Caenorhabditis elegans: one gene and its partners. The protein of the gene in region 1 interacts with the protein of each later gene in a pairwise test. Each region holds a gene or a part of one and is shown on either strand. Other genes may lie near its edges.

What was found.
Region 2: the proteins of rpl-18 (region 1) and nob-1 interact in a two-hybrid assay, tested with the Caenorhabditis elegans proteins (one large-scale study listed by BioGRID).
Region 3: the proteins of rpl-18 (region 1) and mei-1 interact in a two-hybrid assay, tested with the Caenorhabditis elegans proteins (one large-scale study listed by BioGRID).

What each region holds. Positions count from the first base shown.
Region 1 is NC_003282.8:13,775,851-13,779,449, forward strand, and holds rpl-18 (Large ribosomal subunit protein eL18), read left to right. Parts: upstream 1-2,014; 5' UTR 2,015-2,040; coding exon 2,041-2,043; intron 2,044-2,099; coding exon 2,100-2,186; intron 2,187-2,230; coding exon 2,231-2,437; intron 2,438-2,579; coding exon 2,580-2,702; intron 2,703-2,751; coding exon 2,752-2,898; 3' UTR 2,899-2,959; downstream 2,960-3,599. Other genes in the region: Y45F10D.16 (uncharacterized protein), read left to right, coding at 1,019-1,074, 1,122-1,284; gly-10 (Putative polypeptide N-acetylgalactosaminyltransferase 10), read left to right, coding at 3,246-3,599.
Region 2 is NC_003281.10:12,082,392-12,086,145, reverse strand, and holds the start of nob-1 (Homeobox protein nob-1), read left to right. Parts: upstream 1-1,829; 5' UTR 1,830-1,883; coding exon 1,884-2,071; intron 2,072-2,115; coding exon 2,116-2,324; intron 2,325-3,754. UniProt on the Caenorhabditis elegans protein: Transcription factor, involved in posterior embryonic patterning, morphogenetic movements of the posterior hypodermis, and cell fate specification. Binds to the 5'-TAGT-3' motif in regulatory elements of genes, including Meis protein psa-3 and microRNA mir-57.
Region 3 is NC_003279.8:8,292,770-8,296,523, forward strand, and holds the start of mei-1 (Meiotic spindle formation protein mei-1), read left to right. Parts: upstream 1-2,104; 5' UTR 2,105-2,112; coding exon 2,113-2,289; intron 2,290-2,339; coding exon 2,340-2,678; intron 2,679-2,724; coding exon 2,725-3,452; intron 3,453-3,754. Other genes in the region: npp-2 (Nuclear pore complex protein Nup85), read right to left, coding at 1-143, 196-731, 778-871. UniProt on the Caenorhabditis elegans protein: Catalytic subunit of a complex which severs microtubules in an ATP-dependent manner. Microtubule severing may promote rapid reorganization of cellular microtubule arrays.

The DNA of each region.
Region 1 (3,599 bases):
GTATCACGTAGTGCCAGGCTGTCCCGGTTCGATCTACAAAAAACGCGGGAATTTTTTGCCCAAAAATATGTGACGTCAGCACGTGTTCTTATCTATACGAAATCAGTTGAGAAGTCTGTGTCTCTTCTCCCGCATTTTTTGTAGATCTACGTAGATCAAGCCGAAATGAAATTTCTGCAATAAAAAACTCTTCGCGGCGAGACCCATCCGATAAGTTCCATGCGCCTTTATTTTTCAGAAAATTGCATAATATCCACGTTGCACGTTAAAGGAACATACTATCTTCCTCGGTGGGTCTCGTCACGATTCTTGTAATTTTGGATAATGATCATGATGTTCTTAGCTTGTGAGGACTGTAACTTTGAGCTCCGCAAACTATAATAACTTGCTCCTATGCTCATATTTCAAAGCTCGAGAGCTCAAAGAATTCCACTCTATGAACCCAAGCTCACGTGCCACAAGGATGTTACATTCTGATATTTGGTCTGTAAATTCTCAAACATCCTAGAAAAAATTTTTTTTCGCGTTTTTTTGTGTCTGGCTGGCTTCTGACGTGTTCGCGTTCAAATATGTATTGTGTCAAACACTCAAACACAAGAAATATGCCGTTTACACACACAGAGAGGGCTCGGTCAATACAAGCAAAATATAAGTAAAATTCGACGTAAATTTCCGAGTTTTGGTCTTCTACTCTGTAAATTTGCCATTTCATTTTTTTTCCTCTTTCAATAAATTGCGGGGGTGAAGACAGGTGTCAAACAAAAATGAATTCCATTTTTCAAACAAGTTGTGCACTGCAACCAGTTAATGTAATCGGTCATTGGTCCAAACACTCATGAAAGCAAATAAAAAATTCCGATTTGATGATCATAGATTCCGAATTTCTAAGGCATGCTTGCCCAAAGTTCACATTCCTCGGATCAACCAAACCACAGAAATATTTCGGAATTTTTCGTGAAAAGTCACGTGAAATCCAGCGACTTTTTTGCAAAGTGTTCCTTTCACCATTTCTCAAAAAATGAACTCTACAGCGAACTCGGGACTGCAAACTGTTGTCCGTGGAGAAGGGTATTTGTATGTTTTTCGATTTTTAAATTCAGGTATTAGTTGGTTCCTTTTAGGCTGGCCCATTTGTTCTTCGTGGTTCCAGTCATTGTGCTCCAGGTTCAGTACATCATGAGTGTTATCCGGCGGAGAAGACTGAAGAAGCAATTCCGAGCGGTTATCAGGAATAATGATCGATCTCCAGCCAATCCAGATGGCATTAGTGATAAATCTGATTAATTTTTGTTTTTTTTTTCCGATAAATTATTTTTTAATTTGCATTCGTTTTTTAATAGTCTTTTAAATCTTGATTAATTCAGAATAACTGTTTAATCTTTTTTAATTGAAATATTGACAAAATTATAAATTTCCGGCAATCCAGATGGAATCAGTGGAAAATTCGCTTAACTTCGTTTATCAAAGAAAAATCTTGAATTTTGTTTCAGTTCTTTAAATTTTTCATGTTTTTCATGTCAAACATAAATTTTCATTCGGCTAATGAATGCTAAAAAAGTCAATTTCATTATATTGTTGGAGAAAACGCGACTTTTAATGTATTTTCATATTAAAAGAACCGATCGAAAGTTGTGAAAAACTTATTAAAAGAAGAAATGGAAAGAAAAAAGCTAAATAACAATGAAATTTCATTTATACTCTCAATTTTTAATCAAAATTCTGAAAATTTTACTTATTTCTCACTGAAAACTCTGAAAACACTGAAAAATTGCCGAAATTCTGTCGAAAAATGTGTGAAATTGTAAAACATAAACAGGGCGCGCAACGACACTCCGCTCCAATCACGGGTCTCGCAACGAAAAAGTGTGCGCCTTTGAATGAATTGAGGGAATATTTCTACTAGCCTAAAATTTTTTTCACGTTTTTTACCGTAAAGTAGCGTGTTTTTGCCGGTTTTTCCGTTGTTTTTGATAAATTATAATTAAAATTTTGATTTTTAACGTTATTTTTGCAGGGTACATCTTAATCTACTCATAAATCATGGTAAGTTTTGAAATATTCATATTTTTAACTTGAAAACTAATATTTAAATTTTTTAGGGTATTGATATCAACCACAAGCACGATCGCGTCGCCCGCAGAACGGCACCAAAGAGTGAGAACCCTTACCTCCGTCTTCTGTCCAAGGTAACACTTAGTTTTTGTTGCTCTGTTTAAAAATTAATTTTAAGCTCTACGCTTTCCTCGCTAGACGCACTGGAGAGAAGTTCAACGCCATCGTCTTGAAGAGACTCCGCATGTCCCGTCGTAACCGTCAGCCACTCTCGCTCGCCAAGCTTGCCCGCGCCGTCCAGAAGGCTGGAAACGAGAACAAGACTGTTGTCACCCTCTCGACTGTCACCGATGATGCCCGTCTCTACACTGTCCCAAAGATCTCCGTAAGCATTTCTTTTACCGTTAAAATTGTAAAAATTATTCTTGGTTTTTATGAAACCAGTTTAGTACTGAAATAATACGAAAACATCGGAGTAACTCCGGAATTCTTCAAAATTCGTCTCATTTTCAATTAATTTAATTTAGGTCGCCGCTCTTCACGTCACCGAAGGAGCCCGCGCCAGAATCCTTGCTGCCGGAGGAGAAATCATCACCCTCGACCAGCTCGCCCTCAAGTCGCCAAAGGGAGAAAACACCGTCTTCCTCCAGGTATTTCACAATTTTTCTATTATCTTTATTTATTTTTGTACATTTTCAGGGACCACGATCTGCTCGTGAAGCCGAGAAGCACTTCGGACCAGCTCCAGGAGTCCCACACTCCCACACCAAGCCATACGTCAGATCAAAGGGACGCAAGTTCGAGCGCGCCCGCGGACGCAGAGCTTCCAGAGCCTACAAGAACTAAGTTGTTGTTATTTTGTTCCCATGATTGTTTTCGAATCATGCCGAATAAAAATGTGTCAATATTTAATGTTTTTGTGTTGAATGGATTTGATTGATATCAGGTGTTTCAAACCTTGCAGATAATGGAAAAATGTTACTTATTTTGAAAAGGGTTAAGTGGTGGCGGAACTTTTGGTCTTCATATATTGGAAGGAAGGAACAATAACGATACACTTATCGCCGACCTTCGAGATTGAAAAAGTTGTCTCCTTACATGGTTTCAATGTTCATTGCGCTTAGAAAACGTCGAAATATTCCGATTCCCAGCCTTTTGCCGTTCTTTTTGGCCTCCTAACAAAACGGCAGACAATGGTTGCCATCTGCATAAAAATAGGAGAGCGAGAGAGAAAAAGAGTGCACATCATGTTGTTGGCGTATACGTGGAAAACGCGTGTATCGTCTCACCAGTGCAACAAATCCCCCATTTTTGGTCTTTTTGCAATTCAATTTTCAAATATTTGTTCTAATCTGTTGCTGCTGCAGCAAAAGCTCGTAACTGTTCTCACTCCTCGTAAAACTATGAAATTTCCACGAGTTATTACTTTTCAGAGCATGGGTTTGAGCCGATACTTAAGCAGGCGTCATCACTGGGTAATACAATATTGCGGGCTTCTTCTATTTCTTTATTTAATTTATTCCTACGTTGCCACCTCGAATGACGGA
Region 2 (3,754 bases), on another chromosome or scaffold:
AATACAAAAAAGTCTCCAACCTCTCCGACACGGAAAAGCTGAATATAGGTGTTTTTTCAAAATTTTGAACCGCCATAAAAGCATTTAATCCTTTTTTTTTTTGAAAAGTTTCATTCTGATTTTCCAGAAATAAGTTTCTAGAATTTCAAAGGGCCTAAGCTCAAGCCTAAGTCTAAGCCTAAGTCTCACGATAGTTTTAGGGTCTCAAATTTAAATAAAAACCTGTATCTAAAAAATCAAAACTGTTCTAAAAAAGCACCCCCTGCTCTACTTTGACAGCCTAAAACTCGGTTCGCTTTGGTTTTATCAAACAATTGCAAACGGACAAAATAAGTGCAAAGTGTTTCCCTATATTTTGGTTATTGCAAATTTTTTGGTAAAACTGAAGACAGCCGAGGTATAAGCCGCCACGTGGTGTCAGGCTGTCCCATTACGGTTTGATCTACAAAAAATGCGGTAATTTTTTTCTCAAAAAATGTGACGTCAGCACGTTCTTAACCATGCAAAATCAATTGAGAACTCTGCCGCATTTTTTGGTAGATCAGCGTAGATCAATCCAAAATGAGACACTCTGGCACCACGTGTGCGGGAAGCTTAAATACTCAAGCTTCAGGGGGTTTTTTAAATTTCAAATCTAAATCCTCTTGACAAGAAAAATAGAATGACCAGAAACCGAAGCGAGAAAAAAGAAAAAAAAGTGGCGACCTCTCTTTCTCTCTTCCTGTCCATTGACTAAAAGGCAAATCGGATCGGAAGGTAATCCAGTCGTAAAATTGGTGGAAGGTTTCCTATACTAAAATTATATCATAGAATACGGAGTGCAGGAGGTCGGGTTTTTTTTTCAAATGAATTGATATAATAAAATTGAAAAAAAAACGCTCAAATTTTGTATCATATATATGGGAATAAAAAGTTGATATTTGTCAAAATCATGGAATTTGCTTTTCCCTTGCTTTTTGCACTCAACTTGTCTCTCCTATTCATTCTCTGTTCCCCGCCCGCCCCGCTCCTCGCCGCCCAATTCGTCAGAGGGGTACGGTAGACAAGTGGGTGGAGCGTGCGTGTTATGTAGTGTCCTCCTTTCTGCTCCTCGGCCTCATCACCTTTCACGGCCCCCCGCCCCTTATTCTCTTTATAGTCTCTTTGGTGTTTTCCAACACAAGGGGGAAAGAGGAAACACCTTTTTAATGCGTTTATAAAACTTTTTTAGTGCTCTCTTAATCTTTATTACTTGTCTCGCATGCATGTTTCAACATTTATGTTATTTATGTGCCCCCCCAGCTTTTATTTTATTACCCTCAAAAGGTTTATGAGGTTTAAAATTATTTTATTGGTGCTTAAGGTTTTGATTGCCGCGTTTGTCGCCGATAAATAATAATTACTGTTATAAGCTTATTTACTAATTAATTAATTTTCCGCGTCAAAATCCTAAATATATCGTAGCTAAAGCTTTATATCTAGTTAGTATGGCCCCCCATCAATCGACTTTGTCGTCTTATATTTCAGCGGTTTCATAAGATTTTTGATACCTTCAAAAACCAGAGCATAACTATAGATTTGAAAAAGATATTGTCGTTCGAGTTTTTGACATATGATCAAAAAGAACCGAGATATAAGCGTTCAAAGTCGAGTGAGGGGGGCCGTACTAATAGGAAATATACGGTAAATGACTACTGTAGCTCTTACAAGCCGTGCTAAATTCATTTCAAAAATCGAGCCCGTAAATCGACACAAGTGCTACAGTAGTGTTCAAATATAAGCTTTTTAAATTCTCGTTTTTCTTTTCCTTACTTTTTCAAGCTCAATCTCGCAAAGTGCTCAACTTTCAGGTTCAAAAACAGATCTCCAAACCCAAATAACTCCCCAAGCTGCTCATATATGGAATGATTTCGGTGATGCAACAAATGATTAATAACGACTCTCCAGAAGACTCTAAAGAATCTATCACCTCTGTCCAACAAACTCCATTCTTCTGGCCAAGTGCTGCTGCTGCCATACCGTCGATACAAGGAGAAAGCCGTTCGGAAAGAGAATCTGAAACTGGGTCGAGTCCACAGCTAGCGCCGTCTAGGTTAGTGTGAAGTTGATTTGGCAAATGACATCTATCATTTTCAGCACAGGAATGGTTATGCCTGGAACAGCAGGGATGTATGGGTTCGGACCAAGTCGAATGCCAACTGCCAACGAGTTTGGAATGATGATGAACCCGGTCTACACGGATTTCTATCAAAATCCGCTGGCCTCAACTGGTTGGTACTCATACGGACAACCGTATCAATTCACAGCTAACTACTCCATTCCAAGTCTCGATGGAAATTTAAGTGGTTAGTTCCAACATCTCACTTCTATTATGTCATTGTGCTCTTCCATCTGCCCGCCCACCTCCGCATTCCTCGCTATCACTAGCTTTGATCTTACCGCCGCGAGTTGCAAGGGTAGGAGAACACGGTTTTCTGCTCCGTAACTCGGAACTTTCTAAAAGATCATAAGTCAATTCGCAGCCTATTTGGATCTCATTCCTTTCCTTTTCCGCATAACAATCATAAAATTATTAATTACCGTTGAGACCTCCCCCACCCATAAATTTCGCCTCGCCCTTGCCCAATTAGTAATCGATATCAAATCACACACGCGCCTTCAATTCCTACCGTACCACTTTATCTTCCGATCATCTCTTTTTTTGTTCGTCATTCTTCCTTATATAGAATCTTCTTCATTTTTTTGCCCCCATACAGTAATCGGAGAGTGCACTCTCCTCGCGGCGCCAGCGGCGACCCTTTCAAGTTGTATATGTGTGTGTGTGTGTATCGACGACGTGTATAAACACGCACTGGCGACACTCTTTTTTTTTTGGAGAAAAGGCAAAAAAGGAGAGGAGAAGACTATATCGATAACAGACACTTTACATCAGTTTTATGGTACGGTAGAGAAGGGGCAAAGTGTCAGAAGCTGTGGTTCTAATTATACCAATATCGATTTTTTGTAAGGTATGCCGTATTTTAATGTCTTATGTAAAACGTAGCTTTTAGGATTTAGGTTTTTTTCCTGAACTCATTTAAGTTTATATATTAGCTATTTTCGCTTTTACGGTGATTTGCTTGAATTGCTCAAACAAGTATAGGTAACTCGAATATGATAACTGCTAGCAAAAAATTTCCAACTAACAAAATGTTGCTGTTGATTTTTTCCACATCCTTGATATTGCCATAATTACATAACTTTGTTTACAGCAACTGACATCCGGCGGGACTGTTTTTTCTTTAACTAGAATAGAATTACTAAGTACCCCATGACTTTTGAACTAGGTGTGTATAGCAGTTTATACTACCGTATATTTCCTATTAGTATGACCCCCCCCCCTATCAATTGACTTTGTCGGCTTATATTTCAGCGGTTTCAGAAGATTTTTGGTACCTTTAAAAACCAGAGCATAACAATAGATTTGAAAAAGATTTTGTCGTTTGAATTTTTGAAATATGATCAATCAAAGAGAACCGAGATATAAACGGTCAAAGTCGAGTGAGGGGGGCGCCATACTAAAAGGGAATATACGGTGCACTTTCAGATTTTTTTTAATGCTGGAAGTTGTGAATCACCATTCTCAAATAAAAAAGATCAAAAACCAGTGTAATAGAATCTCAAATCTCAAACCTCCCAGCAACAAATCAACAGTCTATAAAATAACTCAACTTGGCGCCTTATGGTACTTTTCGGGGGGGCGCTATACATGTCCCTATCACTCATTCACAAATTG
Region 3 (3,754 bases), on another chromosome or scaffold:
AAAATCCGTGAAGCCATAGATACGAGGTATCGTTCCTCACCGAGTAGGAGCTTCGTAAGATATTTGAAATTTTCGTTGCTCCCGTACTTCCCACTTGTCAAATTTTCACGCATGATATCCTTCCATTCATTTACTGTGTTAGCCTGAAATAAGAATATTACGAAGTTTAAGAATTATTATATAAATGGGTCTTACTAATGCTTCGTCGACTAAGTTTTCGGGATTGAAGAATGTGAGAGCCTCAATGAATGCATCACATTCTGATCCGCCTCCATGTAGCTCCAACAGTTCAACACAATCGCTGAAATTGCAACTAAGCAAGCTGACTGCTACTCCCTTCCAATATTCTTCTGGAATCGTCTTCCCCGGATGCAGATATTCCACAGCTGATTCCATGGCTCCTCTAGAAAACGTGAAGCTCTGATTGGCCCATGAAATAAGATCCGCACATATCGAGCTATCACCTCTTCCAAACCATAATTTCTCGTAAAGTGACCACAAAGCAAAGTCTGTCATGAAGTCGGAACTGCTGTGAGACACGGCGGCATTGTAGAGAACTGAACGATAAGCTCGAGAGAATGTGCAGCAAGTAGGCGTGTCTAGAGGTGCATCAGGTGAGGAGCCTTTTTGACATTTATCAAATACAGAATACATTTCGATAACAAGTCGTCTGAGATTTGGTGTCGCAAGAATTTGTCGATTTTGTGAAACTTTCTCGACCAAGACTGTTTCTGAAAAATCTCTTATGTTGGAAACTGAAGAAGATGCAATTTTTACCTTTATTTGAAAATCCTTTTTTATCTGTTAGGAAGGCGAAGACCGTGGAGGAGTCGCTGACAGCTATCCCGAATTCTCGAGCGACATCCGTCATCTGAAAGAGATACTAATGTCATGTGAAGTGGTATTAAAAATATAGTAAGCACGGTAGAAACATTAACTTATAAAATTGAGATTTCTGATAAATAAAATTTTTCCGGGAGTTCTGTAAAACTTCTTACGGTTTTAACTTGATAATTCCATAGGGTTTAAAATTTCCTTTTGTTTCTTGAGTTTCTTCTCGGAATTTGAACAAAAATAACGCGTTTAATCTCGAATCAGTACAATGATGGACTACACGGCAGTTTTAAAAAACCAATTAATAATAATAATCCTAAAAAATGAGAAGAATATTTAAGAAAATGTAAAAGTTTTCCGCGGAATTCCGCTAAAATTCGAAAATTGAAAGTGTTCAAATTGCAAGCGATTGTGCATTCAGACGTGACAGTGTCTGGGGTGTATTGCGTACTCGACATTTTAACTGACGACACTTGTACTTTTGCGCCATACTTCCGGAGCTCCAGCTCCGCGGAGCCCTGAGCAATTATTTTTTTACTTTTTATGAAAAGCTTTCTATAGATATCTTTTAAGAAGTTACACTATAATTGTGCAAATCAAACTGGCTCCGGACAACACAAATTTCGTCTATACCTTTATGATCTTTTTTTGTTAAACAAGTGAAACAATTATTTCCTTTTCAAACTGCTCTTGTTTCTTCTCTTTATTAATCAATTTTTTTTTTTTTGCTTTGTGTAAATTAATTGTTTGTCGCGGATGAGCTAATTCTGAGGTTTGACCAGCAGAAATCTGTTTTCTGAAAAATCAATAACTCGCCGCTTAATTTTGGTTTTATTCAAGTGATATGCAATTAGAAGGTTCTAATCATTTATATCTCGCTGAAAGATCTCAGATTTCAAGCCTTTTGCTAAGGATTTAATTCCTAAAACTTTTTTTGACCTATCATTTTTTGTGTGATCTACCGCTGTAAATACTTGTTGTTTTGCGGCTAAACTCTTTCAATGTTTCCAACAAGTGAGCCAATATCAAGTAAAAAAAGAAAAATCGTTTTCTATTCAACCATTTTATTCTGTAAATAATATTAAATTCATCTTCACGGTACAATCTTCTTCTCCCATCTAATAAAGTCCACGCACACTCCGTTCCGTCGTTTCCCTATTCGTTATCATTCATCATCTTGCCATTTTCTTCTCCGCCAAATCCCATTGTCTTATACTAAATTTCATCCTCTCGTCTGTAGAAGTGTATATTATTGAAAAATTAAAGTATATTTTCAGGATGAATGGGGATGTGCAGTCAGTCATTCGCGGATATCTGGAGCGAGCCCAAGTCGCGAAAACAATGTCCGATGCCGGACGATGGAATGAGGCTGGTGATCTTCTTCGTCAGCTCATGACAGATGTCAAAAGCTGTAAAATTTCGGCAAGCAACAGAGACGAGCATGACGCAAGAAATGTACGTAATATAAATCTTTTAAAAGCTTGTTGAATTATTTGAAATTTCAGACATTCCTACGAGCCCTAGAGGCTAATTTGAAGCTTGTCCAACAAAATGTGCGCGATGAAGATGACCTACACGAGGCGATGACGCGACAAAGTGGAAGTCCAGAGCCACCTGCAGACCCAGATGTTTGGTCCAAACCATCGCCACCGTTACCATCCTCATCGAAATTTGGAGCAACAAAGAAAGGAGTTGGAGCAGCAGGTCCACGTCCCAGAGAAATATCAAAGTCAACGTCGTCGATGAGCACGAATCCGGCTGATGTGAAGCCTGCGAATCCAACACAAGGAATACTGCCTCAAAATAGTGCTGGAGATTCATTCGATGCATCGGCTTATGATGCGGTAAGTTATTATGTTTTCCAGAAACAAAAATCAGAAATCTTTTCAGTACATTGTTCAAGCGGTGCGTGGTACAATGGCTACAAATACGGAAAATACAATGTCTTTAGATGATATAATCGGAATGCACGACGTGAAGCAAGTTCTGCACGAAGCCGTCACTCTTCCACTCTTGGTGCCAGAATTCTTCCAGGGTCTCCGTTCACCATGGAAAGCAATGGTTCTCGCTGGACCACCTGGAACTGGAAAGACTCTTATCGCACGTGCGATTGCTTCAGAGTCTAGTTCAACTTTTTTTACCGTTTCCTCGACTGATCTGTCCAGCAAGTGGCGTGGTGATTCCGAGAAGATTGTTCGTCTGTTATTCGAACTTGCACGGTTCTATGCTCCATCCATAATCTTCATCGATGAGATTGACACACTTGGTGGACAACGTGGAAATTCTGGAGAACACGAAGCGAGTCGGCGTGTTAAATCCGAGTTTCTGGTACAAATGGACGGGTCACAGAATAAATTCGATTCGCGACGTGTATTCGTGCTGGCCGCCACAAATATTCCATGGGAGCTCGATGAGGCACTCCGAAGACGTTTCGAAAAGCGAATCTTCATTCCACTGCCAGATATAGATGCAAGAAAGAAGCTTATCGAAAAATCAATGGAAGGAACTCCGAAATCCGATGAAATTAACTATGATGACTTGGCGGCAAGGACTGAAGGATTCTCAGGAGCTGATGTTGTGTCTCTATGCAGAACTGCTGCTATCAATGTGTTGAGAAGGTAGGTAGCAGGAATGTGCAGAAAATCTTTTTGGAAAACGTGCTTGTTTCAATAAGATAATCCAATATTTCGAATCAAAAACTGGTATAGAAATGGCAACTTTCATGCACTATTTAATGTTTTTAAACGCTTGTAGACAAAATTAAATAACATTTTAAGATGAAATGAACCGTTTTTATAAATTTCGATATCAATTTAAGATTGAAAAGTTGGATTATCATAATTAAAAAAAAGCCAATTTTGTACGTTTGCTGAAAAAATTTTGCTAATCGCGATGTTGCAACACTTTTTTCAAGAATCGA